Linked DNA regions of Cricetulus griseus. The protein of the gene in region 3 purifies or fractionates together with the protein of the main gene of each other region. This does not show direct contact. Links are inferred from orthologs where the notes say so. Each region holds a gene or a part of one and is shown on either strand. Other genes may lie near its edges.

Region 1 (5,508 bases), about 11 Mb from region 3:
ATTAGCAAGATCCCAACAGCTCCACTTAACCCGCACCATGCCAACAATCTTACCCAAGGCCACTTCTCAGTGGTCTGCTCCACAGCAGGACTGTCTCCCAAGACCCAAGGACTTCAATTTGCTGTGTTCCTAAAGGTAGGCTGTTTTCCTTCGGTGGCTCCCACTATGTGGCTACTCTGGGGCTTGGCAAATGCAGACAGTAGCTCACTGCCTCACTTATCAACCCTGAGGACCTTTAGAATCTTACCTCACCTACCCTTCCAAAGGGAGCTAAGTGCTCTACACATGTAGAGTCCAAACAGCAGCAAAAACACACGAGTCACTCCAGGCCAAGGGCCCTGCCTAGCTTAACCTGGAACATTAACTCTACTGCTCACACTGCATGTTTGCCAACACTCTTCCTCCCTCTCAGACAGCCCACACAATACTCCTGTGAGCAATTGCCTCAGTGACCCCTCCAACCCTAAACTCTGAAGTGTCCAACAAGCAGAAAGATGGGGCGCTAACCCTGTGTTTCATCCTTAGCATGGTCTTCTGCACAAGGCCTTAGGCCTTCATCCTCCTCCTCCTCCTCTCAGAGCTGAGGCTGATGCTCTCAGGCACTTATTGGTAGGAAGCCAGAGAGCTGTGAACGACTTTCTTGGACTCAAACAAGAGGCTCAGTACAGACCATCTATGTCTTTTCTCCTATCTCCACATGCACAGCATAAATTACTATAAATTACCATATATAAGTTGTCCCATTAAAAATACTGGGGGGAAAACCAGGGCATAGCAAGGATCATTTAAAAACTTCAGTCATCCAGGGACAAGCAAATGCACCCTGTGAGCACAGACTCGGGAGTACTTACCAGCTTCCACAATGGCTGGCTTGTTGCTGGAGCAGACAGATAGCACCTTCAGCACTCTGCTTGTGGTCCACAGAAGCTTCTCATAAGTATAGGTCCTCATTATATTTACTAAGGCCTGGGGTCCACCACTGGCCAGGATGATCAGCTAGGAAGACGTACAACTAGTGTCATACAACTCCAGAAATGCTGGAGAGGAACCCATCAGCAAGTTACTGTGTCACATCAAAGTGTATCTCTGGACCTCTCTGACGCAAGGTCTCAAACTGGGGGGTCCTAGGTATGTGACTTCTATACTACAGTATTCTGCTCAAGTCCAGGCATGCCAACACTTTCAAGAATACATCAACTTGGGCTGGAGAGATGGCTCAGTAGTTAAGAGCACTACTTGTGCACTACTTACTAACCCGGACTCAATCAATTCCCAGCATCCCCAACTGTCTCTTAAGTCCAGTTCCAGTGTATCGGACATACCACCCCCGACCAAGACACACATGCAGGCAAAACATCAATGCACGTAAACTAATAAGAAATAAACCATTAGAGGAAAAAAAAAAAAAAAAAAAAAACACCAACTCTGGCCATCTCCCCAAATGGAACATAAAGAAAAAGAATATGAAAAGCAACCATGTTTGCCTGTAGTAGTGAAAGTTGTCAGAACTGCCAGTTGAAAATGGGCACTAAGAGCCCATAGCCTCTGCCCTTGACCTTCTGAAAACACTGCAGAAAACATTTCCACAAGCAGATCTATTTCATACCTATGCTCAAAGTTACATCACCTGGTCTTTGGTATGCCCTACAAGCCTCACAAGGTCTACCCAGACTATGTGTTTACAGCCTTACCCCAAAACTTTCTCAAGCACTATACTCTGAAAGCCCCACCCACACCACCCTCCTTCCCCTTCAGGGCTTCCCTACATGCCTTCCTCTCTCTCACCTGCCTCCACCTACTATAAACACCTCACTGCCTCTCAAGCATCTCCACAAGGCCCTCAGAACAATGTTTCTTCTGTGTACTGAACCCCTTCCTTCTAGTCAGATTGGCAATTATCTCAAGGGTAAAGACTCTGGAGGCCTTTTCGTGTCCACTCAGTGCGATGCACAGCACGGTGCACACAGACACTCAATGTTGAGAGGACAGAGTGCAGCTCCTCTAGGGTGCACACAAAGGGCAGGTCAGTGAGTCTGGAGCCTGTGGAGCCTCTGTGCCCCATGCTAACAGCTTTCATGACTTTACCTTGCTCTCTTGATTGCCATAAGCTAAGATCTGCAGGCAGTCTGTTGTAATAGCCAAGAATTTCACGTTTGTTTTGTTGAGCAAAGCAACCATTTTTTGCAGTCCACCGGCTAGGCGCACCGCCATTTTAGCTCCTTCCTGATGTAGCAGGAGGTTGTGCAGCGTCGTGATGGCATAGAACAGAACAGAATCCACTGGTGACCTGAGAAGAAAGAAAAGAACCTTTGTCAAGCCAATACTGGCACCCTTCTTCTTCCCACCTTTCTGGTTATGTGACCGACCACTTTCTTACCCAAGCATTTTCACCAGAGCAGGAATGCCTCCAGATTTAAAGATGGCCAGCAAGCCCTCACGGTGGTGAGAAAGGTTGTGTAAGGTCCCAGCAGTACAACGAGCTGTTTCTACATCATTTGTGTTCTGCATGGTGCGTACAATAGCAGACACCATCTGAGGAGAGCGCATGATGGCATGTCTGGAAGCTTCCTTTTTGGAAAGCTGATGAACCATAACAGCAGCTTTATTAACTACCACCTAGAGTACAGGGGGTGAAGAAGCACCATTAGTTTCCAAATACTGACATCGAACAGCCATCGTCACCCTCTCAGTTTCCCTCAAAGTAAACGGGAAGCAAGCTGTGTAACTGCTTACCTGGTCCTCATCATTTAGCAGTTTTGTCAGCTCGGGAATTGCACGTGTGGCAAGTTCCGCGTCATCCTGATAGTTAATCAAATTAACAACGGCATGCTTCAGCATCTGGGATGGCTCAGCCAGGCGCTGGACGTTGGTGGGATGAGCCGCGTCAAACTGTGTGGACGGGATCTGCATACCCTCATCTAGGGTCTCAGGGAACATGGCAGCTCGCACCCTCTGAGCCCGAGTCATGGCGTACTGTCCGTCAATATCTGGGAAAGGAAAATCCATGTGAGACTTCACTGTCCTAAGTGCTAAGTAACAATGCACCCGACTTTCCTCTGCTTTTCACTTGTGCCTGTGTGTCTCTGCCACCACACACCCTTGCTAAGAAACCCAACTCTAGCTTTTAAACACACAAATGCTTTTTACCCGCCACTTGCTCTTGAGTGAAGGACTGGGAAAAACCTTGCTCCCACTCATACAGGACTTGGGAGGTGTCCACATCTTCTTCCTCAGGGTTGCCCTTGCCACTCAGAGAAGGAGCTGTGGTGGTGGCACCAGAATGGATTCCAGAATCCAAGTATGACTGCTGCTGCCAGTGACTAACAGCAGCTTTTCTGTCCGGCTCCATGGCCATGTCCAACTCCATTAGATCAGCTGTAAAAACAAAACAATTTAGTGCACTGAAAATGATACCTGAATAAAATATCCATGACAATGACCCATTGAAATACATTTAGAAACGTATTTCAGCAACCAAGGAGATCAGAATGATAGCCAGTGTGTGCTCCATGGTAGAACAGGGGCAACCCAGTGGCATTCAAGTTCCAGAATCACTCAAGCTAGACTCCCACGGGTAGCTTGCTGATTATTTCACCAAGCTGGTAGTAGTAAGCAGAACAGCAACAGGTAGGCTGGCAAACCAAAGCCGGCAGGGGCAAGAGAGCAGCAGGGACTCTAAGGCAGCATACAGAAGCCACAAGCAGCTCCCCGGGGCACAGACCTTGAGTAGCCATCGTCCACGCACGAGTGTGGTGTCACAGCTGCTGTACACTAAGCTTCAGATAATCCTGAAAAGAAAAATCAATTCATTAAAATTTAAGCAGATGCCTGCCACATGTGTTATATGTCCCACCAACACAAACCAAAAGCATGAGATACACTGAAAACACAGACCCTGAAACACAGCTCCACCATCACTGACCTTCTGAGTGAAGGCCATGTCTCAGCAGACACACAGGTGCTGAGAGAGAACAACTCCTTTGCTCTCCCATGAAAGCCAGCAAAAGGAACAATATTCAAATTTCAACTGCTCTGTGAATTCCTGAAGGCTAAAGACACTCAGACTGGGCTGGCCATGGAGACAGTGGAGTTTTTAAAAAACACCAAATTTTTATAAAACAAATCAGTTGTTTTTGCTGATATAACACTGATCAGAATGGCGATTTAAGAAGCAAAATTACTTGTCAAGTCAAAGTCTGAAGCACAAATAGAAATACATTTATCAAAAGATTTGTATGAGTTCAAGCAGTGATGTACACACCATGGCAACTGGTGCAGTTGCCCCTAGGATCAACAACAGAATGTAACATTTCTCACAGGTAAATTTTAGTCTAAGTAATGTCTGCATTTTAGTTTTACTGTACAATATTGAAGAAAAATATCAAATCACTAAGAACCAGATGGAAGCTTGGGGTTCGTGGTCTCTAGGTACTGTATGAACAGATTTCCATTATTAATGTGTGTCCCAAGCAGGGTCATCTTGCACTACAGCTAACACAAGGTGTCCTTACAAATTAACACTGCGTGCATAAAGGACCTTTAGGTATGACTGCATCTTCAGTTCATGCAAAGGTGATTCTGAATGTTTGAACAGAAACCTCACACTAATGACCATTTTTTCTCTAAGCAGAGGGAGGCACATTGACTCCTTCCCTTTGTTTTCTGAGAAACTGTTACTCTGAAACCCACACTAGCATTCCCTCTGCCTTGTCCTCCTGATTTCATCACTCCTCCCAGATTAAGGCAAGTAAACTCAAGCTGGGCCCTTGCTTTAGGCTCCACATACAGACTGACACTTGAGGGGGACCTCTCCCTCAAGAATCTTGTGCCTTGCTGGACGGTGTCCTGGAACTCTGTGAGTTCCAGGACACCCAGGACTACACAGAAAGACCCTGTCTCGAAAAACCAAAAGGGAGAAAAAAAAAAAAGAAAGAAAGAAAAAAGAATCTTGTATCCTAAAATGAGGGCACAGCCATATGGTAAGGCACGGCTTTCGATCTCAATCAACAAAGATGTCCGTCCACAGCGTGTGGAGAGACCAGAGTGGCCCACTGTGCACACATTACCTAGTGCTGCCATGCCAGCCCTCAGGTAGGTGCAGCTCTTCCTCATCTGGCCAATACAAACAGGCCTGGGGACCGTTTCCCCCTTATGGTGCACAGCCCAAACACTTAATCTCTTCCTGGGTAAATCCTGCTGATCTGGAGCGTGATTTATTAGTAATTTTACGGGGTGGGGTGGGGATTCATGTTTCAAAACTCACAGTATCTGCACATGTTAGGAGTCCTGAACACAACATATAACATACATTTGTTATAGCATAACAGTACTAGCACACAAAAACCCATGTGACATAAAAACCTCCTCACAGCAACCTGTAGGGTAGGAGAGAACAAACATCAACCAAGTAGTAGAGTAAAAACAGGCAGAAAGGGAGCTGTCAGGTAACTAGCAGCATGCAGGCCAAAACATTTTCTACAGATAGAACCAAAAATAAAAGAATTTGTA
Region 2 (5,971 bases), on a different chromosome or scaffold from region 3:
AGGAAAAGATGTAACATTAGAATAATGGTTTTAAAGGCACAGAATCAAAAGCATGATCTTTTCAAGTAATCTACTTGATTACAGCTGTTTTCTCAGAGACTTAGTGCAGGGGGTTTGGAGAGTGACTCCAGATGAGAAGCAGCATCATCACCTGGGAGCCCCTTAGAAATGCACATTCTCAGGCCCCCTTTAGAGCTGAACTGACACAGCTGGCAAGTGTTTAGGCAATATACATCGGCTTTAGAAGGAAACTGTGAAAGTCCAGTATTTGGTACTTTGAGTTACACTGAAGGGAACTGAAGTTGAGACCGGTGTAGAAACCTATGTGCACACACTGTCGGGCTCCTTGGCTATAAGACCAAAGCAGTTTCCTACTCTGCAGTATTGGTCTGTTCTCTTTGGAATGCAATCAGACCTTTCAGATTTTCAGCACACATAAACTAATTGCTTTCAACTGATCTCCCTTTTGCTTGCAACAAAAAAATTCTCTTTACTTCAAAACCAAAAAAAAAAAAAAAAAAATTTAGTCCCTTAGAGTAATCTAAAATCAGAATTAGCTATAAATCACAAAAACAATTCTCAAATTGGAGTCTTGTTTAGAGTTGCTCATGGGAAGGACTTATGACTCAGTAATTACAATGTGAGCCTAGAGTGAGGTTTCTGCCAGATCACACCAGGATAATTCATTTACTGTTCTGTGTCACCTTCTCCACCGAAAAGGTAACTTACACAATCACATCTTTTAATGGGAAAAAAAATTTAAGAGCTCTTACTTGGCTAAAAGGAGCTCTGGAAATGTATTTTGGTGGTAGAGCTGTGCTGGCTCAAACTGATTTTCAAAGGCAGTCAGTTTTTTTTTTTTTTTTTCTGTACAATCAGTGAATTTAGGGTGTGGCAATAGTTAAAATGGGATTTTAACTAGTTCTCCTCAAATCCTCCAAGTAAGGTGGTGGAAATAACTTTGTAAGATCTCAGTTCTGGAGTATTTTAGCCTAAATTCTGAAAATAAAGGACACACACACACACACACACACAACACACACACCACCCACCCACCACCCACCCAAGTTTGGGGCTCAAAATAATCAAGAGTATAGATAATGCTGTTTCAAAAGTTATTAGAAGTAAATACACTGATACATCTTGAACAATTGAAAGCAATTGCACTGAATATTCTAAGATAATAAAAAGTGGATCCACTTGAAGCTGCCTCTATCACACATGAGGTAGTCAAGCCACCTTGCAGTTTTGTCTCTTTCACAGCTGTCTCATCCAGAGTTCTGGTCTGACCCACTGCACCTCTCAACTCAGTTACTCTGATGCACAGGGAACTCAGGACTGTTAACCAGAAATAAGGGACACCTGTGGTTCTCAGGCTCGCCTCCAGCCTCACATCGTTCATGTTCTGGACTAGCTATATCGATGCTTGCTCACTGCAGGGCATTTGGCAACACCTCTGCTTCTACTCTGCAGATGTTACCAACTCCCTCATCCTCAAAGTTTCCTGATACTGTCAAATGCCACTGGGGAGTGGGTGGGAGGAAATCAAATCCAGTTGAGAACAAGTGGTCTGAGTGCAAAGTAAGAAACAATACCAGCAATAGTCTTTCATTGGTACATAGGGTATTTTGGGGAAGGAGTCTTTCTTGGCAAAAAGGAGTAGATGTGGTTCTAAAATTCCTATTCTAGTCACCGAAAAATTCTTCTTAATCCCTTTGTGAACTTGTGTCTGCCCTGGGAATTAGGCTGGAGCTGTGCACATGTTATACCTGCTAAGCAATGCTCTACCACTTCACTCTATCTGCAATCCCTTGGTCTTTTTTACAGGGACTCATCCTCTGTACCCGTCATTCCGTGTCTGAATACTTGATGTTAATTTCCAATGTAATAAGGACTCCTCTACTCAGACCCAACCTTTTGCAAATATTTTCTCTTCCATTCTTTATACTTCTGATTAACTTTATGTCTGAAAGGCTCTCATCCGGAGATCTGAGTGATAGCACAGGGGGACAGCAGTGACAATTTGATTGCCCCCACTGACTACTCTGTTGTTGAACTAGGTCCCTCTCCTCTGCCAGGCGACCACAGTCTGGAAGATTAGTACTTGGAAAGAATGACCTTTTACTGAATGAATTATGCCCTGTCTGGAGAAAACAAATCCAGAAAGCAGGAAAACAAAACTCCTGTAAATAATGCATTGTGACAGCTTCTATGTAGCATTGGTTGCTGGGCTTCACTGGGTATCTGGTACACCTCTGTGAGGCTTCTGTAAGGTCTCTGTCACATAGGGCTGGGAAGAGGCTTTAGAAACCTGCTACCGAAGGGGGATGCTCCCCTGTACATTCAACAGCTTCTGAGCCTCCCACTGAGTCAACTTACACCACTAACTTTTATTGGGTCCTACTCAATACTACAGAATTACTTCCAACTACATTATGGGTCTCTAGAGCAGTGGTTCTCAATCGCAGGGTTGCGACCCCCCTACAAACCTCTATCTGCAAAAATATCTTCACTACGATCATAACCGTATCAAAATTATAGTTATGAAGTAGCAACAAAAATAATTTTATTGTGTGTGTGGGGGGTGGTCACCACAACATGAAGAACTGTATTAAAGGGGCGTGGCAATGGGCAGGTTGAGAACGGATGCTCTGGAGAGAAGTAAAGCACCTACACGTAGATTATCTTCACGTAAACACACATGTTTCCGTGAAGGAACTCCCTTCACATAAAGACCCAAATGGTAATTTCCTCTGGTGACCATGAAAAACAGCCTCCGTTAATCGAGCCAGGACTATGCAGAACCCTGGACATTAGAACTCTGCACATTTCCCCTTCGGGTTTGGCTACTAGGAGGACAGACATAAATTCTTTGCAACTATCCTAATAATTCCTGGTCTTTTTTTCACGAGTGCCGGGGATGGAACCTGGAGCCTGACTCAGGCTTCATCTCCACTTCCTTCGTTATTCTTTTTGTGTCCATGGTTCCCGGGTCGTTTTTACTACAGCCTACTGAATTTGCTAAATAATGAAAGTTTTCCTTGCATAGATTTTGATGTTTGTTTCGGACTTGGCGAACACAGCAAAGAAAGAAAGAAAGAAAGAAAGAAAGAAAGAAAGAAAGAAAGAAAGAAAGAAAGAAATCATTTGGATACTTGCAAGCTGTTCTTCATACCCCACTGAACTGTATGTATGAAGACCGATGGTTTATACAGGTGAATGGTATTTGGTACAAAAGTCACAAAGGAGGGGGGAACTGCCACGCTTATATCCAAAGGTATGGTTTATAAGTGATGTGAGTCAATACCTAGGCCAGAACTAGTTTGTCTCCCGTGCCAATTCCATTCTAGTTGTGAGGGAAACTAAACTTCATCCAGTTACTGTAGGCTGGGGTTCGGTCTTGTGAAATTCGCTGAAATGGTTAGGCTACGAACCCTGGACTCCTACACAAAGTCTGGGACGTCCCACACATACCCACTTCTCTCCTCTTTATTCCCCCAAGCTCGCTCTTGGGTGGAATGTTGGACTCTGGCTTCTCCCCCTCGGCGAGGCTGGGTTTCCCTGCACCCATCTAAGCGAGGGGCTCTGCTCTGCCCTCCGCAGCCCAGCCGGAGCGCTTGTCTTCCGGCCTCGAGGCCTGTGCGGGGCTCGCGGCGGCGCGGGCCACACCTTCCGATCCATCTTCCCCACCTGCGGGTGGGGTGGGTCGCGCAGCCCGCCCTCCTCCAGGATCGGGTCCCCGCCCGCCCCCGCTCGCCCGCCCCAGCGGCCCAGCACGCCCGCCCCCGCCCCGGCCCGCCGTCCGCACGCACCCACTTGTTGGCCCGATGGAAGAAAGTGTACAGAGCCACCTGGCTGGCCACGTCCACGATGCGACTGATGTAGGGGTCGTGGCGCCGCAGGGCAGCCAGGCTGATATCATGCCCCTTGCCCGGCAGCCCACTGGCCGCCGCGGCCGCCATCTTCCCACCCGCCCTCTTGCCCGGCTTCCAGGAAGGCCCCCTCAATCGACCGCCGAGCGAGGGACCGCAGCTGGGCGACCTTCCGGCTCTTGGGGACCCAGGCTAGGCTCCGCCAATCGACGGCCGGGCCCTCTCGCGGAGGATCGTCGCCCTGGCAACGAGAAGCCCAGGCTTGCTTTCCGAAGCCGGTTTTTTTCTGCTGTTTCTTCCTTCAGGAGCCTCCAAGCCGTGTGCATGTATTTCCTTCTTGGATGTGGCCCACCCCTTGGCATAGCTCTTCTTTGGCTTTCCGATGCCAAACCCAATCAAATATAATAACGCCAAAAAGGAACAATTCTGGAGATTCTTAAAGGGTGCACCCCAAAATCCGTGAAGGCTGCAATGTTAAGACCGTCGACGACAATGCTGAGACACGTGTGTTGTGTGCACACTGAGGGCCGGTGCACTGATACTGACCCAAGGCAGGCCCCAAACTGTACCACTGGTCAGGGTATTTTTGCTGCTGTGCATTCACTGGAAAATGACAAGAAGCTGAAGCCAGGTGTCACTCGATAAAATTCCCAATTTTGTTAAAATTCAACCCTGGATATACTTTTTAAAACAATGTGGGAAAAATAGAAAGTATGGATAAAGCAGAGCTGTTGCACGCCGTATTTGACTCTAGGAAAAATGTTCTGTGCTTGACTTGGGCTGGATTTGTGGTTTTATTGTTGGTTTTTGTTGATTTGGGGCCTTGTTTCTTGAGGCAGAGTCTAGCTATGTAGTCATGGAGGGCTTCCATCTACCCCCACTCCTGCCTTGGGGTCTCCAGTAACTAGAATTACCGGTGTGCCACCACCCAGACCAAGGGTTTTGTTTTTACTTCCACAGAACATTAGTTTAGCACGAAAGAAGATGGGCTCATTATGGTTATTCAGATAGACAGGCTTTTTCTTTTTAAAAATTATTTATTTTATTTTTTCAAGACAAGGTTTCTCTGAGTAGCCCTGGCTGTCCTGGAACTCAATCTGCAGACGGAGCTGGCCTCAAACTCAGAGATCTGCCCTGCTTCTGCCTCCCAAATGCTGGGATTAAAAGCAATGTGCCACCTGGCTCTGGACAGACTTTTTCAAAAACAGATTTTCCTGTCACTTCCAAGAACAAGGGATACTTATTGTTGCCAATGATAATTTTTGAGATTAATTTTTAAGAAATTGGCCAAGATCTTTACAGTGTCTCAATACTTAAATCTTTTCTGATGAGATCAGTGGTGATATTGATGAGTGCACTTTAAAAACATTAATGTCTAATGGAAACTGTCGACATTTGAAAGATATCTCTCAGTGACTCAATGTTTTTCAGATAATAAAATGGTATCACAAAATCATGTATTGGTAAGAGATCCATTCAAGGACAAGGTGAACCAACAGACTTCAATTGCCACAAAATATGAAAAGTTGATAGATAGGATTCCAGATAACTAACCTTTATGAAACTGAAATTTGTTAATTTTTGATATATTGTTGTGGTGGTTTGAAAGAAAATGGCCACCAAAGGAAGTGGCACTATTAGAAAGTGTGGCTTTGTTGAGTAGGTGTGGCCTTGTTGGAGGAAGTGTGTCATTGTGGAGGCAGGCTTTGAGGTCTCATATATGCTCAAGTTACTGCCCAGTATCTCAGTCCACTTCTTGTTGTCTTTGGATCAAAATGTAAATAAGGACTCTCAGCTCCAGCACCATGTCTGCCTGCATTGTGCCTTGATGCTTCCTGCCATGATGACAATATAAGAGAGCCACCACAATTAAATATTTTTCTTTATAAGAGTTGTGGTGATCATGGTGTCTCTTCATGGCAATAGAAATCCAAACTAAGTCAATCACCAAAGAATATTCATAGCTACCTGAAAAGGGCATTAAAGAGGTATCCCTTGTACACTTACATTGTCTCTGAGGCCAGGGCTTGTTCACAGATGTGACAGGAGATAATAATGGCAGGAGATTGTAGGTAGAGCCAAAAATAATCTCATTGTCT
Region 3 (5,508 bases):
TCCCAAATCCTGGGATTAAAGACATGGGCCACCTCCCAGCTCTAAATTTAGTCTTTTTTTTTTTTTTTTTTTTTTGGTTTTTCGAGACAGGGTTTCTCTGTGGCTTTGGAGGCTGTCCTGGAACTAGTTCTTGTAGACCAGGCTGGTCTCAAACTCACAGAAATTCGCCTGCCTCTGCCTCCGAATGTTGGATTAAAGGCGTGCACCACCACCTGCCTGGCCCTAAATTTAGTCTTAATGAGATTATTTTAATAATCACGGAGAGAAGAGGCTAGTTTAGTACACTGGAGACAAAAGACTCAAACTTTCCAGGCCATACTTGGCTACAATACGCCAGTCCAGGCCACCTAATGCGATCCAGCACTTGCCCAATAGGAGTGAGGTTGGAGGTTTTATCATCGGTACCACAAACAAATATCCCAGCTGAGTTGCAAAGAGCAGTAACAATGCTAAGAGCATACTGCCAACACTTTCAAGTTTTTACAACTCTTGAAGTTACTGGCTTGCCAATGCAATACTAAACAAACTAGCTAACTTGAAGAAACCCAGAAGGAAGTATGTTAGGGCTGGGAATGTAGCCCAGTGGTAGAGTGCCTGCCTAGTATTCCAAAGGCCCTGGAGCACTGGGAAAGAAAGGAAAAGGCGACTACAGTTAGCTCCTTTCTGACTAGGAATGCATCCCTGTCATGAGTAATACCGAGAGGCACCAGGGCCCTCGCACTAACCCAACACCGGAAGACTGTTCCCATGCTGCCAATAGAAGGAAGTCTCTTTGGGACACTGTGTAGACAGCTTCAATATCATACCGCATCTGGTCGCCCGCTGGCATCCTTTGGCTCCAGGTAGGGCTTCTTCTTCACTCGGTTCAGGTCTTCGTGCAATCCGTCTAGAATAAAGGCTAACAGCTCCTGAGAATCTTGTTGTTGGTAGCCAGAAAACTGAGGGGCGAAACGTCCCACTTGGGTCTACAACAGAAGCAACTATGTCAGGAGGTATAATAAAGAATCAGTGAAGAAGAAAAAGTAAACAAGTCAGAGGGCAGCGGACATGACGACTGCTCTACAGTCCACCGGAATGTATGAAACCTCACCTGAGTGAACATCCAACTAACGCCCCAAGAGCCATCCTGAGGCCAATGGGCCCAGAAAGACAGCTCAGATCAGAAAGCAGGCCTGACATGAGGCCATTGTTCTGACAGGGGTAGAGAAGGCACTCTCTGTTGACATTTCCAAGTCTGATGCTCCACTCCAATGTCCTTCTGTGGTTCAGGATTAAATTATAAAACTTTAGAAATGATTCTGCATCAAACAAAGGAGTCACACACAGAACGGCCCTCACATCCCCAGCTCTGTCAGTGCTGATCGTTCCAGCAACCCTGCACGTGGTCCCAGTCAGCAGAAGCAGCAGCACCTAGCACTTATCAAAAACAAACTCTACTGAGGCTCAATCACAAACTCCAGGGATGGGCCCATAATCTCCTGAATAAGCCTTCCCAGAGACCGTGATACAGCCTAAAATTCGACAAGCTCTGCTTTGTATGTGTTGTCTAACACTTTAGCCACTAATTCAGAGGTTATTCAAATACAAGGAAGTTGAAAATAAAGAGGAGCTAGGGTATAGCTCAACTGTACTCGCTTAGCTTGCACAAAAGCCTGGGTTAAATTGCTAGCACCAGTGAAAAACTTAAATACAACTTAAAATTGAGATTCTTTTTGAAAATTATTACTTTATGTTTATGGATTTTTTTTTTTTTTTTTTGTGTGTGTGTGTGTGTGTGTGTGTGTGTGCTGTGTGCCTATGTGGTACCCATGGAGGCCAGAAGACGGCTTTGGAACTGGAGTTACCAATGGTAGGTGCTAGGAATCAAATCTGGATCCTCTAAAAGAGTAGCCAGTTCTCTTACCTGCTAAGCCATCTCTTCAGCCCCCCAAATTCTGACTCTTGGTCATACTAACCACATTAGAAATGCTCAGCAGCACGTGGGCTAATGGCTACTACCAGACATTGCAGATATTAACTATGTCCATCAGTCAAGTGAGGAATAGCCCAAAATGCTATTTATAAATTATTCACATAGGAATGAACCCAGTGTGCACCCATCCAATTCTAGTATTTTTTTTTTTATGATTTAGTATAGAAACAGTAATTTACTTGTATTTCTCAAGGATTAATGTGACCAAGAAGATGAAAGAGAGTATTTGGGACTGGAGAGATGGCACAATACTACTGCTCTTCCAGAGGTCCTGAGTTCAATCCCCAGCACCCACACAGTGGCTAAGAAACGTCTCTAGTGGGATCTGATGGCCTCTTCTGGCATAAAGGTGTACATGCAGACTGAGCATGCAGATACATAAAATAAAGCTGAGAGAGAGAGAGAGAGAGAGAGAGAGAGAGAGAGAGAGAGAGAGAAGAAAGAGTCTTCATTAACCAACCACTTGAGACTCCCTCATTGAGAGAAAAAAATATGAGTAAGAATTGCTTTTCTGCTGCGCAGTGGTGGACGGGAGGCAGAGGCAGGCGGATCTCTGTGAGTTTGAGGCCAGTCTGGTCTACAGAGCAAGTTCCAGGAAAGGCTCCAAAGATACACAGAGGCAGGCAGATCTCTGAGTTCAAGACCACCTGATCTACAAAGAGTTCCAGGAGAGCCAGAGTTGTTACTCAGAGAAACCCTGTCTCAAACAAACAAACAAACAACCCCACAGTACTGAGTCAGACAGGCCCAGTGGTACACATCTTTCAAGGCAACTGGATTATGAGTTTGAGAACATCTCAGTGAGACCCTGTCTCAAAAAACAGAAAAATTCAAAACCAACAAAATAAAACAAATACCACAGCTCTGAATGACAGAAAAGAAGGGTCTGATAACATGAACTTTTGAGTCTTAGATTCTACCTTTTTGTTTGTTTTATTTCTGAGACAGGGTTTCTCTGTATAGCCCAGGCTGTCCTGGAACTCACTCTGTAGACCAGGCTAGCCTCTACTCAAAGATCTGCCTGCCTCTGCCTGTCAAGTGCTGGGATTAAAGGGGTGTGCCACCATTGCCCAGCTTTTTTTTTTTTTTTTTTTTTTAATGTATGATGATCTGTGTAAATGTGAGGCCAGCCTGGCCTGCAGAGCAAATTCTAGGACAGTCAAGGCTACACAAAGAAACTCCGTCTCGAAAAAACAAAAAAACAAAAACAAATGAACAAAAAAGGGACAGGGAATCAGGCGGTGGTGGTGTACAACTTTAATCCCAGAACTCGGGAAAACAAAGGCAGGTAGATTTCTGTAAGTTCAATCATGGCCAACCTGATCTACAAGTTGAGTTCTAGGACAGCTAGGGCTGTTACACAGAGAAACCCTGTCTCCAAAAGACAAAAAGGAAAAAAAAAAAAAAAAAAAAAAAAAAAAAAAAAAAAGGAAGGGAAGGGAAGGGAATCTAACAAGCCAGGTCAGCAGATAAAGATGCTTGCCATCAAGCCTGGCCATCTGAGGCTGATCCTCAGAATCTGTGGTAGAGAGAAACAATTCTACAAGTTGTCCTCTAAACTCTACCCTTGTGCTATGGTACAAACATGTGTGCACACATGTATGAGAGTGTGCTCATGCATACACAATGTAAAAACAATCTTTTCTTTTGAGGAAAAAAAGTAATGTATCTCAACCTACTTTGAACATTCGAGGTGCCACATGAGTGTCCCTTCCAGACCACATCTGTTTGATGAGCTCTGCATAGGCCTCTGCAATCTCCCCTTTCATCCCCAGAGGGTTGTCTCGGTTGATCTCGGCTTCATACTCATCTTTGAGGAAGTACTCAGTCAGGGGGGCAGTGTTGCTCAGGCACTGAAACAGAACAAAATCAGAGCTCATAACCCTTCCACACAGCACAAACAGAAAGACAGAAACACAGACCAAGTTCTTTTGTCTGACACACTCTTAGACCAGGCTGATCTCAAACTCTGGACAATCCTTGCCACAGCCTTCTAAGTGCTGGGTTTGCATATATACAGAGCCATACCAGAATTCTGCATTTGGAACCCTCCTGGACATTCTATTTGCTTCTTCCCTTGGCTAACTTTAATCTCTATCCTTTCCTCATCATAAACTATTATCATGAATAAACTATGATAGCTTTAAGTAAATTCCTAAGTCCTTCTAGCAAATTATAAAAATTGAGAGTGCTCTTAGGAAACCCTGAACTTGCAATTGGCCTCAAAGCTAAGGGCAATCTTTTTTTTTTTTTTTTTTTTTGGAGACAGGGTTTTTCTGTGTAGTCTTGGCTGTCCTGGAACTCACTCTGTAGATCAGGCTGGCCTCAAACTCCACCTGCCTCTGCCTCCCGAGTACTAGGATTAAAGGTCTGGTCTACACCACTACTGCCTGGCAACTGAGGGCATTCTTAGAGAACATGATCTCCTAGGGTTTTTATTGTTGTTGTTGTTTATTTTTCTTGGTTTTTCCAGACAGGGTTTCTCTGTGGCTTTGGAGGCTGTCCTGGAACTAGCTCTTGTAGAACAGGATGGTCTCAAACTCACAGAGATCCACCTGCCTCTGCCTCCCAAGTGCTGCCTGGCATGATCTCCTGGTTTTGCTGTTGGACTCTTAATTCCTGGCCACCCACATATATCACAATTTTATTACATACCCAATAAATACTTGATTAATCAATAAAGATAAATTTTCAAATAAGATCTCCCTCAAACTTGAGATCTCCCTGAGTGCTGGGATTACACTCACAAACTACTATGCTAACACTGGGGTTTGTTTTTGAGATCTCCCTAAGTGCTGGGATTACACTCATAAATTACTGTGCTAACTAACACTGGGGTTTGTTGTTTCTGTGGTACCGGTGCTAGAGATTGAACCCAGTACTGAGATGCTAGGCAAGACCTCTATCACTAGGTTATAACCCTAGTCCTTTTCTCCTTTTTCTTTTGAAAGAAAATAAAAATCCATGTCTCAAAATAAGAACATCAACCAACTAAGCAAACAACAGTGTCAGGACCTACAAACACTAATATGAAGCCATTCTGAACAAAACAGTAGGCGGTACCCTGGCAGAGACTCTAAAAGGAGGTGAACTGGGGTGATCTAAGAGAAGACCCATTCTTCACTCACAAACTCGCACCCACAGTTTTATTTAGTTGGCCACTATCCCCTCTACCTGCAAAGCAGAGTTCATGAAGCAGGTGTTCCCCAGGTTTCCAAGTCCACAGAGGCCAGGCTGTGTATGAGGCGATTGGGGCTCCTGGCAATTATACGAAGCAGAGAAGCCAGATCCACTGAAAAACACAATCCACATGAGCAATAAAAGCAAGTGCTGGACATATGCCCTTACTGACTTTTGGAGCTCTGCCTGGTTGTAGTCTCAGTGTGTAAATGCTCCCTACCTGCTTTGGTCCTCCAGACTTCCCCACCTTTACTTGGCATGTCAGCAGGCAGTAAGTACAGGGAGAAATGCTATTTGAATTTTCATCTTTTAGATTCTGGTGACTAATTTTATATTCTTCTAGGAGGCTAGCCAAT
Region 4 (6,117 bases), on a different chromosome or scaffold from region 3:
TCCAGTGAGGAGAGCAGGGAATAGAAAATACATAGTGAAAGGAGCAGGATCAGAGTGAGCAGGAGAGGAAGGGAGAGAGGCAGGGAACATAGGGAGAGAAGCAGGGCTATTCCGAGAATTAGTAGCTAGAAAGAGTTTATGGAAAGGGAGGAGGTGAGAAGGGCTGACATGCTTCATGGACTTCGAATGTGTACCAGCTTACTTATGACACTGAGGGAGCCTGGAGGCCAGCATCAACTTTGGTATGTTAATAGGTGCCACAGGTTGCCCTATGTCCCTTCTGCCAGAGGTAAGGGAAATGACTCCTTTTGGTAGGGGGGAACCAGCTTCACAAGTTCCTGTGGAATGCTGGCTTTTACCTGCCAGAAATCTTCCTGTGTTTGGACTGCCTTTGGGAGTTTGGTGAGCTAGAGTTTCATTTGGATATTACAGGTAGGACTGTCAGAGTTCGAGGCCATAGCAAATCTGAGGACAGCCTAAATTGCATGTGATCTGTCTCAACAACAAACAAAAATAAGAGATTATGGTAGGCCGGGCATTGGTGGTGCACGCCTTTAATCCCAGCACTCGGGAGGCAGAGGCAGGCGGATCTCTGAGTTAGAGGCTAGCTTGGTCTCCAGAGTGAGTGCCAGAATAGGTTCCAAAGCTACACAGAGAAACCCTGTCTCGAAAAACAGAGAGAGAGAGAGAGAGAGAGAGAGAGAGAGAGAGAGAGAGAGAGAGAGAGAGAGAGATTATGGTAGTTTATGGAGTCAATGATGAAAGTAAAGGGATGGATTTAGAAGATGATTTCATAGTTATGACTGACAGGATTTAGTAGGACATTTAAATGAGATGTTTTCATGGATTCTGATTTATATAAATGGGTTACATATAGAGAGGTGCTTTGTTTTGGTCTTGGTTAAGGCAAGGTCTGGCTATGTAGTCTAGGCTGCTGTTAGGCTCACAGCAATTGTCCTATTTCAGCCTCCCGGTCTACCAAGGGCTGGGGATTATGGGTGTACCATCTATACTTCGTATTTCTGTTAGAAACTATAAAAGTTTCACTGAAAATTAGGACCTGTATGTTGTGCCAATAATAGTATAATAGGACTGGGTATATGTAACTGTGGTAGAGTGTTTGCTGGAGGAAAAATATAATTCATTTTTCATTCTTCAAGTCTTAAGTGAGACAGGGGGCTGGAGAGATGACTCAGCAGCTATGAGAGTGCTGACCTAACATTCACAAAGCCCTGGGCTGGATGCCCAACACTGCCTAAAAATAAACTGACTTTAGCCGAGTGTTGGTGGCTTACGCCTTTAATCCCAGCACTCGGGAGGCAGAGGCAGGCGGATCTCTGTGATTTTGAGGCCAGCCTGATCTACAGAGTTCCAGGACAGGCTCCAAAGCTATACAGAGAAATCCTGTCTCGAAAATAAATAAATAAACAAACTGACCTGGTGTGGTGGCTACTACATACCAAATTATAGCATAATATCAGCACTCAGAAGAAGGAAACAGGAGAATGAGAAGTTCAAGAACATGCATGGTGAGTCCGAAGCCCGCTTGGGGCACTCAACATTTTTTTTTTAACAACAAAAACACACACAAAAAGTTTCAACAGCCTGTTTACAATCAACTGTAGACACTTGTAATTTCTTACTCCACACTTGCCAGAAACTCATCATTTAACTCTGGCAGCATCGTTTTGAAATGTGGCGTTCCCACCCAGTCCCCTCGGATGCCATCACTAAACCGTAGGCAACTGAGGCTGAAAACCAAGAGCGAGCCTATCCATCCCAACCGTCCACCTTGACTCCCCGTGTCAGCACTGACTGCCAGGAAACGTGCTGGAGTCAGACACAGTCAAGGGCTCGCGGTCGGTCACGTTCACAACAGGTCGGCTGGACAGTTTTCCAGGGACTTCCACGAACGTTGCCGGAGTTTGTCATGCCTCTGGGGACCCTGGACAGTTCACCTCCGAAGCACCGAGCACCCTGATCCACACCACTCCGCCGCTCAGCCGCCGCCCAGCTGCTGGGGGAAGGGGCGTGGCGCCGGGAACTCCCGCGTGACGTCACGTGACGCCGCAGGGCTCCAGGCCGGGCGGGTCCGCCGCCCTCGGGCCTTCCTCCGGGAGGCTCTGGCCGTCCCCGCCGTGGGTTCGGCCGCCTGGCGAGGGGAGGACACGGAGGGTAGTAGCGAGCGGCGGGGCCTTCCCGGCCCGGAGGACATCCACTCTCCGCCTTGGGCTCTCCAGGGAGGCTCGGAAGCTGTGAGTACGCGGGCTTTCCTTCCCCCTAGCCGGCGTGCAGGGTCGGAGCGGCCACTTCCGGTCAGAGCTGCGCTCCAGGGAAGGCTCGGGCGGCCGAGGCGCGTGCGGCACCCGCCGAGGGAGGCTGGGTCGGGGCCGGCCGGAGGACGCGCGCCGGGCTCGTGCTCCACGGTCTTTCGGGCTCCCGCGCGCCTCCAGGGCGAGCCCCTCAGCGCTGAGCCCGCCCCGCGCATGCGCCATCTGCGCCGCGCGCGCTTTTCGCAAGCCCTCGGTCCCGAGCGTCTTGGCGTGGGACGTGGGGCGCGCGGGGTGGCTGAGGGGCGTGTGAGGAAAGGCGAGAGAGCCGCGGCGAGTGCGCGCTTCGCTCGTGAGAGGCACGCTGAGCGCCCTGGGCGTTTGTTTGTTTCCCTGGTGTGTGTGGTGTGACAGCCTAGCCCTGCCGAGCATCCCCAGGGTGGAGGCTGGCGATGGCGAGGACACGCGCAGAAGGATGCGTCCTTTGTGTCCGCCGAGCCGGAGACAGGCGTGTTGTGAGAGGGAAGGGCGCAGTGCCAGGGAGTAACGGTCCAGAGCAGAAAGAGTGGCTCCGAAGTGCTGGGTGAGCACGGGGCACGGAAAGGATGTTGTGAGCCGAAATTTGCTAAGGTGGTATTGATGGTGGTTTGTGTGGCCGTTTAAAAAGCAAGCAAGCAAACAAAAAACAGCTTAGCGGCCGTGGTGGCCGCAGGTTTTTGTGAGTTCGAGGCCAGCCTGGTGTACGTCGAGGCGAACCAAGGCTAAATAGCCTGACCCTGTTTGGAAACAGCAAAAGCACTGAATTGTTTTAACTGCCTCGTCATTGGGGCGTTTCCTAAAGGATACTTAGGTTACACTAATTTTAACTGTCAGTTTTAAGTTTTTCATTAAAGTTATAAAACTTTTAACTTTCTCTCCCCCTTCCTTCCTCCTTTTCTCCCTCCCTTCCTCCCTCTCTCTCCCTCTCTCCCCTTCCTTTCCTTCCTCCCTGTTTCCCTCCTTCCCCCCTTGAGACAGGATTTCTCTGAGTAGCTCTCAAAATTTGCTCTGTAGACCTGACTGGCCTCGCACTTAGAGATTTGCTTGCCTCTGCCTCCTGAGTGCTGGGATTAAAGTGAGCACCACCACCCCGCCATGCTTTATTTTTTGCTATAGAGAAGTATAGTGTATAGCCATGCCCTATCTGTATTGGAGTTAACAATTTTACCTCTTTGTAGATATTTCACCAAAATTGTTAATAAAAGTATAACTATATGTTACTATACATAACTAAGTGCAGTCTCGTATTGACCATAATGTATCTTTTATAGCTAAGTAGTTAAACACAGGCTTGTGAAGCAAAATTATATTAACACCCTTCATCTCACTTTTAAAAATTAATATGAAACGAATGTTCACAAGGGAGAGACATCAGCATTATTAATCCTTTCATGGACACATCCATCACTTAGCTTCAATAATTGCCAAAATAAGTTGTTGTTCTTTCATCTCTCCACCCACACCCATTTTCAAGCCAGTTCCAGAGACCGTTAGTTTATCTCATAATATTCCTGTAATAAATAGAGTCTTTCAGTGAAAAAAGAAAAATGGGGCTGGAAATGTGTCTCAATGGTAGACTTCTCCCCTAGCATGCCTGAAGCACTGGATTCTTTTCTGAGCACCATAAGAAATAAAAATTTTTAAAAAGATTAAGTATCCCATTTTACCGCATTCAGTTGGCATTGTACAAAAATTAACAGCCATATTGTTCTAGAAATGTTGAACTTAATTTTTTTCCATTTGTACAGGGGTAGGGCACTGTATTAAATATGTAAGGTCTTAAAAAAAAAAAGATGGGATTTTGAGAGCCCATCCCATATGAAGGGATGCTCTCTTGACCTGGACACATGGGGGAGGGCCTAGGCCCGGCCCAGGATGATGTGGTAGACTTTGGGGAGCCCCTTTTGAGGGCCTTACCCTGCCTGGGGAGTAGAGGGGGGATGGCTAGGGGCAGGTGGATGTTGCGGGGGAGGGGAGGGAGAGGGAGAAGGGATTGACATCTGAAGCAAGCAAGCTTGTTCCTAATTTGAACTAATAAAATAAAAAAAATAATAAAAACGGAAAAAATACATAAAAAGATTAAATGAACACATCACTATTGAATCCAAGAGATTTAACAATAACAGTGCACCTAAGAAAATAAGATTATTTGAAATCTATATGTATTCAGCTTTTTGTGATTCTTTTTAGAAAGTCTAACTGCAGTTTTTGTAACACTTAGTCAATGTGTGTATTATTTCAGTAGTACTATACAGGTAACCAAGTGGTTACAAACCGTTTTTGTTTTGTTTTTTTGTTCTGAGACAGGGTTTGGCTGTCCTGGAACTCAATCTGTAAGACCAGGCTGTCCTTTAACTCACAGTCTTGTCTTTTCTTTTAAATTTTAGGTTAGAATACAAAGTAATGGGTTTCTTTTCTTTTCTTTTCTTTTCTTTTTTAATGTGTGTGTGTGTGTGTGTGTGTGTGTGTGTGTGTGTGTGTGTGTGTGTTTTGTTTGGTTTTGTTTTTCAAAATAGCATTTCTCTGTATTGCCCAGACTGTCCTGGAACTCCCTTAGATCAGACGGGCCTGGAACTCAGAGATGTGACTGCCTCTGCCTCCTGAGTGCTGGGTTTAATGGTGTAAGCCACTATATCTGGCCAAAGTAATGGGTTTCTTCATTATGCAGTATTATCAGGTTGAATGCATTATTGCTCCTTTGAAAGTTTTGTTTTAGTTTGTTTCTTAGACTTACTTTTATTTTTACGTGTATGGGTGTTTTGCCTGCATGTATGTATCACATGCATGCCTGGTATCCATGGAGGCTAAAACAGGGTGTCAGATTCCCTAGAACTGGAGTTGCACAAGGTTATAAGCTGTTATGTGGGTGCTAGGACTTGAACTTAGGTTCTCTGAAAAGGCAGCCCGTGTTCTTTAAGCACTGAACCATTTCTCTTTCCTGAAAGTTGTTTTAGTACAGAGTCTATGTGTCTCAGGCTGGCCTCAAACTCTAGCTGAGAGGAGAGGATGGCCTTGAACTCCTGATCCTCCTGTCTCTGTCTGAGTGCTAGGATTATAAGCATTCACTACTAGGCTCAATTTATGGGTGCTGGGAATGGAACCCAGAGCCTTGTAAGTGCTCGATACACACTTTTTCAACTGAGCCACAGCTCCAGACTTCATATGTGTCCTGCTCTCCTCCTTCCCCTCCTTTCTCCATTGCTTCCTCTCATCATTTTTGTTGAGAAGGTCTTGTGTAGCCTGGTTGGCCTGGAACTTGCAGCAGTCTTCCTCCCTCAGCCTCCCCAGTGCTGAGATTTAGGCATGAGTCACCATGCCCAATGGGTTACTTTTGTAATGGTAGCTAATTAATGGTTTCAGGTAAGAACACAGTTTAACATATTTATTAAACCACTTGAGTTTCTTAATAGTCTGTTACTTCTATTTAGGGGCTACATAAGTTGTAAAGTTAATCATTAGTCGTTACTATGAAAGAGTCACAAAGTACCTTTACCCTAATAGCTTTGTCCCTCTAAATAGAGTATTCTTAGAGCTTTGCTGTATGTGTATCTTACTGACTTGTTCTCAGAAATATACATGGATCCTCCAATGCTGTAGTGTGCCAACCATCTGCCTGGTTTTGTAACCCATGTACAGGCAAATGATTGTCAATCAGGACTCTTTGAGAATGTTTTCTAGTATCTGATTCAGTACAGTGTGCACATCTCTCCAAAAGTTACAGCAGTACTTTTTTTTTGTTTTCAGTGCTAGGGATTGAACCTAGGACCTTGGATGTGCTCAGCAAAACTCCTTTTCTAATCCACATCCT
Region 5 (5,508 bases), on a different chromosome or scaffold from region 3:
CTCTAACCCCAGCAGTGAGGGAAAAAGTCCACAAAAATATATCAAACTGAGTATCTGGATACAGGGCATAATAAAATGAAATCAATTCTAAAATAATGCTGAGAAAAATCTGTTATCTAATCTTATTTTATTCCTAAATTGTTTTCTTAAATTTTCAGGTTCTCTGGACTGGACTTACAGATGCTGTTAAAGCCAACCTGTGCGTGCTGGGAACCAAACCCTGACCCTCTGGAACAGCTGAAGCAAGTGAATTACTAAGCCACCTTTCTGCCTGCCCCGCTTTTGATATTTTATGTACATGGTGCTTTTCCTACATGTTATGTCTGTGAGAGAGGGTCAGAGACCCCCTGGAGCTGGAATTACAGACAACTCTGAGCTGCCATTGGGTGCTGGGAATTGAACCTGTGACCTCTGAAAGAGCAGCCAGTGCTTTTAACCACTGAGCCATCTCTCCAGCCCCAACCCCTACCTTTTTTCGTGGTGATAGTGGTGGTACTGTGGATTAAGAATCCACAGACTCCTGTGTGCTAGCCAAATGTTCTACTACTGGGATACACCTCTTACATCTACACCTAAATTCTTGAATCAGTCTTAAACAGAGACAGGGTCTTGCTGTGTAGTCCTGGTTAGCCTAGAACTTGTTATGTAGACTTGGCTAGAATTCATACTTGCCTCATTCTTCTTGGCTCTCCTTCCTGAGCAATGGAACTGCAGGTATGTGCCACTACATCTCATCTGTTCTAACATATGGTCTTACTCAATATTGTTTAATGGCTCAAGTTCTTGAGTGATAAATCCAGAAACCTGATTCTACTCTTACCTTCAATATTAGCTGAAAAATATTATTTTAGTCTACCAATTATAAACAGACAACAAACCCATCAACAAAGCCAAAAATAAATGTAACTGGTATTTAGACCATATATCAAAAACATGAAATGATAAGAAATTACTTAATGTTCTTTGGGGGTAAAAATCAGTAGCATTCAAGTAAATTTCGTTTAATTTACTACTCCTAAAACTTCAGAAGTGATAAGGGATTCTGTGAAAGATACTCACGGTGGAGCTATACCCATGGCATGGAGATTAGCCAGGCCCACCATGTTGGCATTGCCAATAAGCCCTGGCTTCAAAGCCAGCTGGGCTTGAATTCGGGCTTGTAGTTCAGCTGCTTTCCTTGCCTTCTCAATAGCATCATTCATAAAAGTAGCGGCCTGGGAGGGCTGAATAGTGTTGCCAATTGGAAGTCGCTCTGGTTGGGAAGAAGAAGGTGTCTTTGGCTATAAGATAAAGATTAAAAGAAATCCAAGGGTTTGAAATAGGCATACAAATATATACACACCTTGATAGACTATGGTAGGTAATTGTGGCACTTTCTGGATTCTCATGTGAACGAATGACAACAAATCTTGTGCTAAATATTCTTTCAGAATAATCTGAACACAATACCTGAGGTGTAGGGGGGCTAATGAAACTCAGTTGTTTCTTCCTTTCCTCAATTTGTCGTGTTGCTGCCTCCATCATCTGTTTGATCTGTTCTCCAGAGGGAAAAATTGGAAAAGATCAATTTCTCCCATAAATGTTCCCAATGAAAATGCATTCAGTTCTAGAGACCTAAAAGTTTGTGAATGTTACACACACCCACTCACCCCCCACCCCCCCCACACACACCCCTGCACCTTAGAGAAGAAAATTCAGTAAAGAGTAAGGCAATGCTGGTTCACGCCTTTAATCCTAGCACATGTGAGGCAGAGGCAGGTGACTCTGAGGCCAGTCTGGTCTACCAAGCGAGTTACAGGACAGCCAGAGCTGTTACACAGAAACCCCCGTCTTGGGAGGAAAAAAAGAAAATTTAGCAAAGATAAGCCTATAAGATTAAGTGAGCTGGAGCGACGGCTCAGCAGTAAAGAGCACTGGCTGCTCTTCTGAAGCTCCTGAGTTCAATTCCCAGCAACTACATGGTGGCTCACAACCATCTATAATGAGATTTGGTGTCCTCTTCTGGCTTGCAGGCATACATGCAGGCAGAATACTGTATATATAATACATAAATCTTTTAAAGAAATAATTTAAAAAAATTAAGCACTACAATTTTTCAATCTTTCCCCCCAAGGTTGGACTGGTATATTAGGTAGTATACACCATTATGGTGACTGAAACTCAGGTAGTGAGTTTCGAACTGTGCCACTTCCTGCCTGTATTACATTGGATAAGGTTATGAATATCTTAACCTCCCAAGAATCTAAAAGGGGGGAAAGTAATGTATGCACACTTCCTACCAAATTACTACACAAGTGGGGGCAGGGTTGGAGAGATGGTTAAGAGCTAAAACACCAACTGTTCTTGCAGAGGACGTGAGTTCAGTTCCTAGCACCCACTCAGTGGCTCATGACCATCTCCTAACTAGTTCTAGGGGATCTGACACTTCTAATTTCCACAGGTTCCTACATGCACATGGTGTACATACACATACTTAAGCATGTAGACATAAAATGAAATATGCATTATTTTTAAAAAAAACATGTTTACCAGCCAGGAACGTTGGTACACACCTTTATCTCGGTACATGGGAGGCAGAGGCAGGCAGATCACTGTATGAGCCCAGTCTGTTCTACACACAGGGAATCACAGGCCAGCCAGGCTAAATAGTAAGCCTTGTCTCAAAAAATAATCATGCTATCAGCAGATCAATTTCTACTGTAGGTAACCATGGAGAAATGGTGCCAGCCTCTTTAGAGTTGTTTCTATAAACCCCTTGTTGTTTCCTAATGAAGTTCAGAAAGAGTCCTTGACTCTTAGGACATAGTCAAGTCTAGTGCTATCATTTCATTTAATTTCCCTGATGATAAAGTAGACAACTGGGTAAACAATGATGTACACACTAGGTATTCAATACATACAATTTCAATAATCCTTAGTTGGACTATTTCTGATCAAACCAAGGACTGCTAGAATATAAAGCAGGAAAAACTTCCCCAAATGGTTAACACTAATTCAAATGAAGATCACAGTGAACATGGACCAATGTTTTTTGTTTCAACTCACAACATCACTTTGCTTCTTTTAACTAACCTGGAGCTTTGTTAGCATGCCAGGGCTTTCTGATGGAGGCCCAGGGATCACCTCTGGCTCCTCTTCTACTTCCTCAAAACGGGGTATTCGCCGCTTCTTTACCCCTGATGATTCCTTTGAGATTTCAGAGTCATCACCGAACACCTCCTAAGGGAACCCAAGATGAAAGAAGAATCGTATCCCTCCCTAGGGAAAAAGGGAAGAACCATCCCGACCCTACAAGTATCCTGTGTTTTCCCAGGGGAATATGACACAATCTTTCATACAGCTTTCAAAGGGTCTTCTAGACTCTCCACCAAGTGGACCATTTCACCCAACTTCACCAATTTCCTACCCCATTCAAGCAAATTTCATCCCCATGTTTTTATAATGTTCCCATCTCAAGATCTTTGCCAATGCTACTGCCTACATTGAAGTGATCTTCCTCTAAATCCTTTCCCATAAATCCTGTCTAAAACTCACCTCCTCCAGGAAGTTTTGCTCATTATCATCTCATCCCACTCTGATCAACTGTTCTTCCACATCCTCTTAAGCACTTACAGCTTGGTTCATATTAGATTACATTATATTGCTGACACTGTTTGCCAAGTGTTAGGTAATACTTTCTCCCAATTAAAATCTAAGTTCTTTCAGAAAAGAGGCTTTTTCTTTTTTAGTATTCCCCAATAACATTTCCTTCTTATCATACAATGGGAACTCAAATATGTTGACTAATTTGCAAAATGAATTTAATAGGACCAAGAGTGGCCAACTGGAGGGACAATGGGAAAAAGCAAATGTACACACCGGTGGTAGGCTTTGGGTGACATCCCCTCTTCACTAGGAGGGCTCGTGTTTTGCAAGGACATATCCTCAGCCAGGGGCGAGCGCTTCCTGGAACTCCTACAGTTCAAGAAAAAGGACTCTCCCATAATATATTGTGTGGAGTGGGGACTTGAATGGACCAAAAATGGGACCCATATCCCATGCTATCTAGATTCTCCCTCAAGAAACCATTTCTACTATCCCACCCAATGTTGTCAATGCATTCAGAGCGTGAGCTTGGCACTTACAGTGGCATAGTACTATCATAACATAATCTTCAGTGTGGTGATCTGTTTGTGAACTAATCATACCTCTTAAGGTTAACACAAGTCTGAAATTCTATAATCAGTTCTAACTGTTACTCAGGTTTTATAATCTGTGGCTGATTTACTGCAACTCCTCACTTTTAAATTGCAGACTAATTTCAGGTAAGGACCATATCTGATTTCTCTAATCACCCTATGCTGTAAAAACCAAAGGGAAAGGAGTTTCTATATAGAGTCTTGAACCTATAATGTGGCCCCAAGCCCCAGGCAGTCACTACTTATCTTTTTGTGTCTCAGGACCAGCAATTGATACCGAGGTATCTAAAGCACTTTAGAGTGAGTATGATGGTGCGTGCTTAGAATCTTAGCACTCAGGAGGCTGGGTCAGAACCTGAGTTTGAGGGCAGCCTGGGCTTGGTGGCAAGATCTTGTCTCAAAAACCCAAAACAAGGGCTGGAGGGATAATTAAGAGGTTAAGAGTGAGTATGGCTCTTCCAAGGACTAGTGTGGTTCCTAGCACGTATATATATGGTTGCTCAAAACTACCTGTAATTCAAGCCCCAAGGGATTTGACACCCTCTTCTGACCTTTATGGTCATCTGTGTGTATACACATACATAAATAAAAATTTTAAATGAATCTTTAAAAAAATCCATAAACAAAAGAAAACATATTAAAGACAAAAACAAGCTGATCATGGTGGTACACACTTGTAACCCTAGCACTCAGAGAATCACAGTCCAAGACAGGCAGAGCTAGCTATATAGTAAGACCCTATCTCAGAACAAACCAACCAAAAACCCAAAAGAGGCAAAAGAAAGTCAGACAGAGAAATGGGCTACATTGGGGAACTGAGATAAGATCATATATAAAAAGACCATGACTATACTGTAACCACAAAATAAGTACTTAGCAGAAAAGGGAGTATTTCTAACTCTTTCACACATCCCACTCATGGAGCCAGTAACCACATACAACAAATGTGGACTATATGGCAGTTAGTTTCAGGCATCTTATCTACAAGTATATTAAATAGAAATCTTTATTAATGAACAAGACTAAGGTCCACAGTCAGGAAGCAGTGGAGATATGATGAATCAACTTACTAGACTTTAAGTAGACCAAGATTCTTAGATCAATCAATTTATAGGTAGTAGGTAAAGAGGGAATGGTGAAAATAAAATGTATGAATAAAGAAAGGACAAGCTATCAATTACTTCCTTGGACTATTTTAAATGAACCTTTTTGAGAAAGGTTCAGGGTGATGGAGATAATATAAATCCTACCCTTCTACTTTAATGTCTGAGGCTCCCTCTTGAACACTGGGTGTTCTATTTTGTTGTTGTTTTTAACTCTATTTGTTGCA

What was found.
Region 1: the proteins of Usp4 (region 3) and Ctnnb1 purify together in Homo sapiens (affinity purification with western blotting; 3 studies listed by BioGRID). This does not show direct contact. The link is inferred for Cricetulus griseus from reciprocal best matches to the Homo sapiens genes USP4 and CTNNB1.
Region 2: the proteins of Usp4 (region 3) and Dcp1b purify together in Homo sapiens (co-immunoprecipitation; 3 studies listed by BioGRID and IntAct, with this or other methods). This does not show direct contact. The link is inferred for Cricetulus griseus from reciprocal best matches to the Homo sapiens genes USP4 and DCP1B.
Region 4: the proteins of Usp4 (region 3) and Rbbp8 purify together in Homo sapiens (affinity purification with western blotting; 3 studies listed by BioGRID, with this or other methods). This does not show direct contact. The link is inferred for Cricetulus griseus from reciprocal best matches to the Homo sapiens genes USP4 and RBBP8.
Region 5: the proteins of Usp4 (region 3) and Prpf3 purify together in Homo sapiens (co-immunoprecipitation; 4 studies listed by BioGRID and IntAct, with this or other methods). This does not show direct contact. The link is inferred for Cricetulus griseus from reciprocal best matches to the Homo sapiens genes USP4 and PRPF3.

The regions. Positions count from the first base shown.
Region 1 is NC_048597.1:228,007,199-228,012,706, reverse strand, and holds part of Ctnnb1 (catenin beta-1), read right to left. Parts: intron 3,789-5,508; 5' UTR 3,735-3,788; coding exon 3,722-3,734; intron 3,376-3,721; coding exon 3,148-3,375; intron 2,988-3,147; coding exon 2,734-2,987; intron 2,617-2,733; coding exon 2,378-2,616; intron 2,288-2,377; coding exon 2,086-2,287; intron 997-2,085; coding exon 852-996; intron 1-851. UniProt on the Homo sapiens protein: Key downstream component of the canonical Wnt signaling pathway.
Region 2 is NC_048601.1:25,696,417-25,702,387, forward strand, and holds the start of Dcp1b (mRNA-decapping enzyme 1B), read right to left. Parts: upstream 3,991-5,971; 5' UTR 3,963-3,990; coding exon 3,813-3,962; intron 3,691-3,812; exon of another isoform or gene 3,475-3,690; intron 1-3,474. UniProt on the Homo sapiens protein: May play a role in the degradation of mRNAs, both in normal mRNA turnover and in nonsense-mediated mRNA decay. May remove the 7-methyl guanine cap structure from mRNA molecules, yielding a 5'-phosphorylated mRNA fragment and 7m-GDP.
Region 3 is NC_048597.1:216,539,640-216,545,147, reverse strand, and holds part of Usp4 (ubiquitin carboxyl-terminal hydrolase 4), read right to left. Parts: intron 5,265-5,508; coding exon 5,147-5,264; intron 3,826-5,146; coding exon 3,652-3,825; intron 966-3,651; coding exon 807-965; intron 1-806.
Region 4 is NC_048595.1:224,693,683-224,699,799, reverse strand, and holds the start of Rbbp8 (DNA endonuclease RBBP8), read left to right. Parts: upstream 1-2,115; 5' UTR 2,116-2,255; intron 2,256-6,117. UniProt on the Homo sapiens protein: Endonuclease that cooperates with the MRE11-RAD50-NBN (MRN) complex in DNA-end resection, the first step of double-strand break (DSB) repair through the homologous recombination (HR) pathway.
Region 5 is NW_023276806.1:60,656,868-60,662,375, reverse strand, and holds part of Prpf3 (U4/U6 small nuclear ribonucleoprotein Prp3), read right to left. Parts: intron 3,955-5,508; exon of another isoform or gene 3,859-3,954; intron 3,220-3,858; coding exon 3,073-3,219; intron 1,534-3,072; coding exon 1,450-1,533; intron 1,281-1,449; coding exon 1,060-1,280; intron 1-1,059. UniProt on the Homo sapiens protein: Plays a role in pre-mRNA splicing as component of the U4/U6-U5 tri-snRNP complex that is involved in spliceosome assembly, and as component of the precatalytic spliceosome (spliceosome B complex).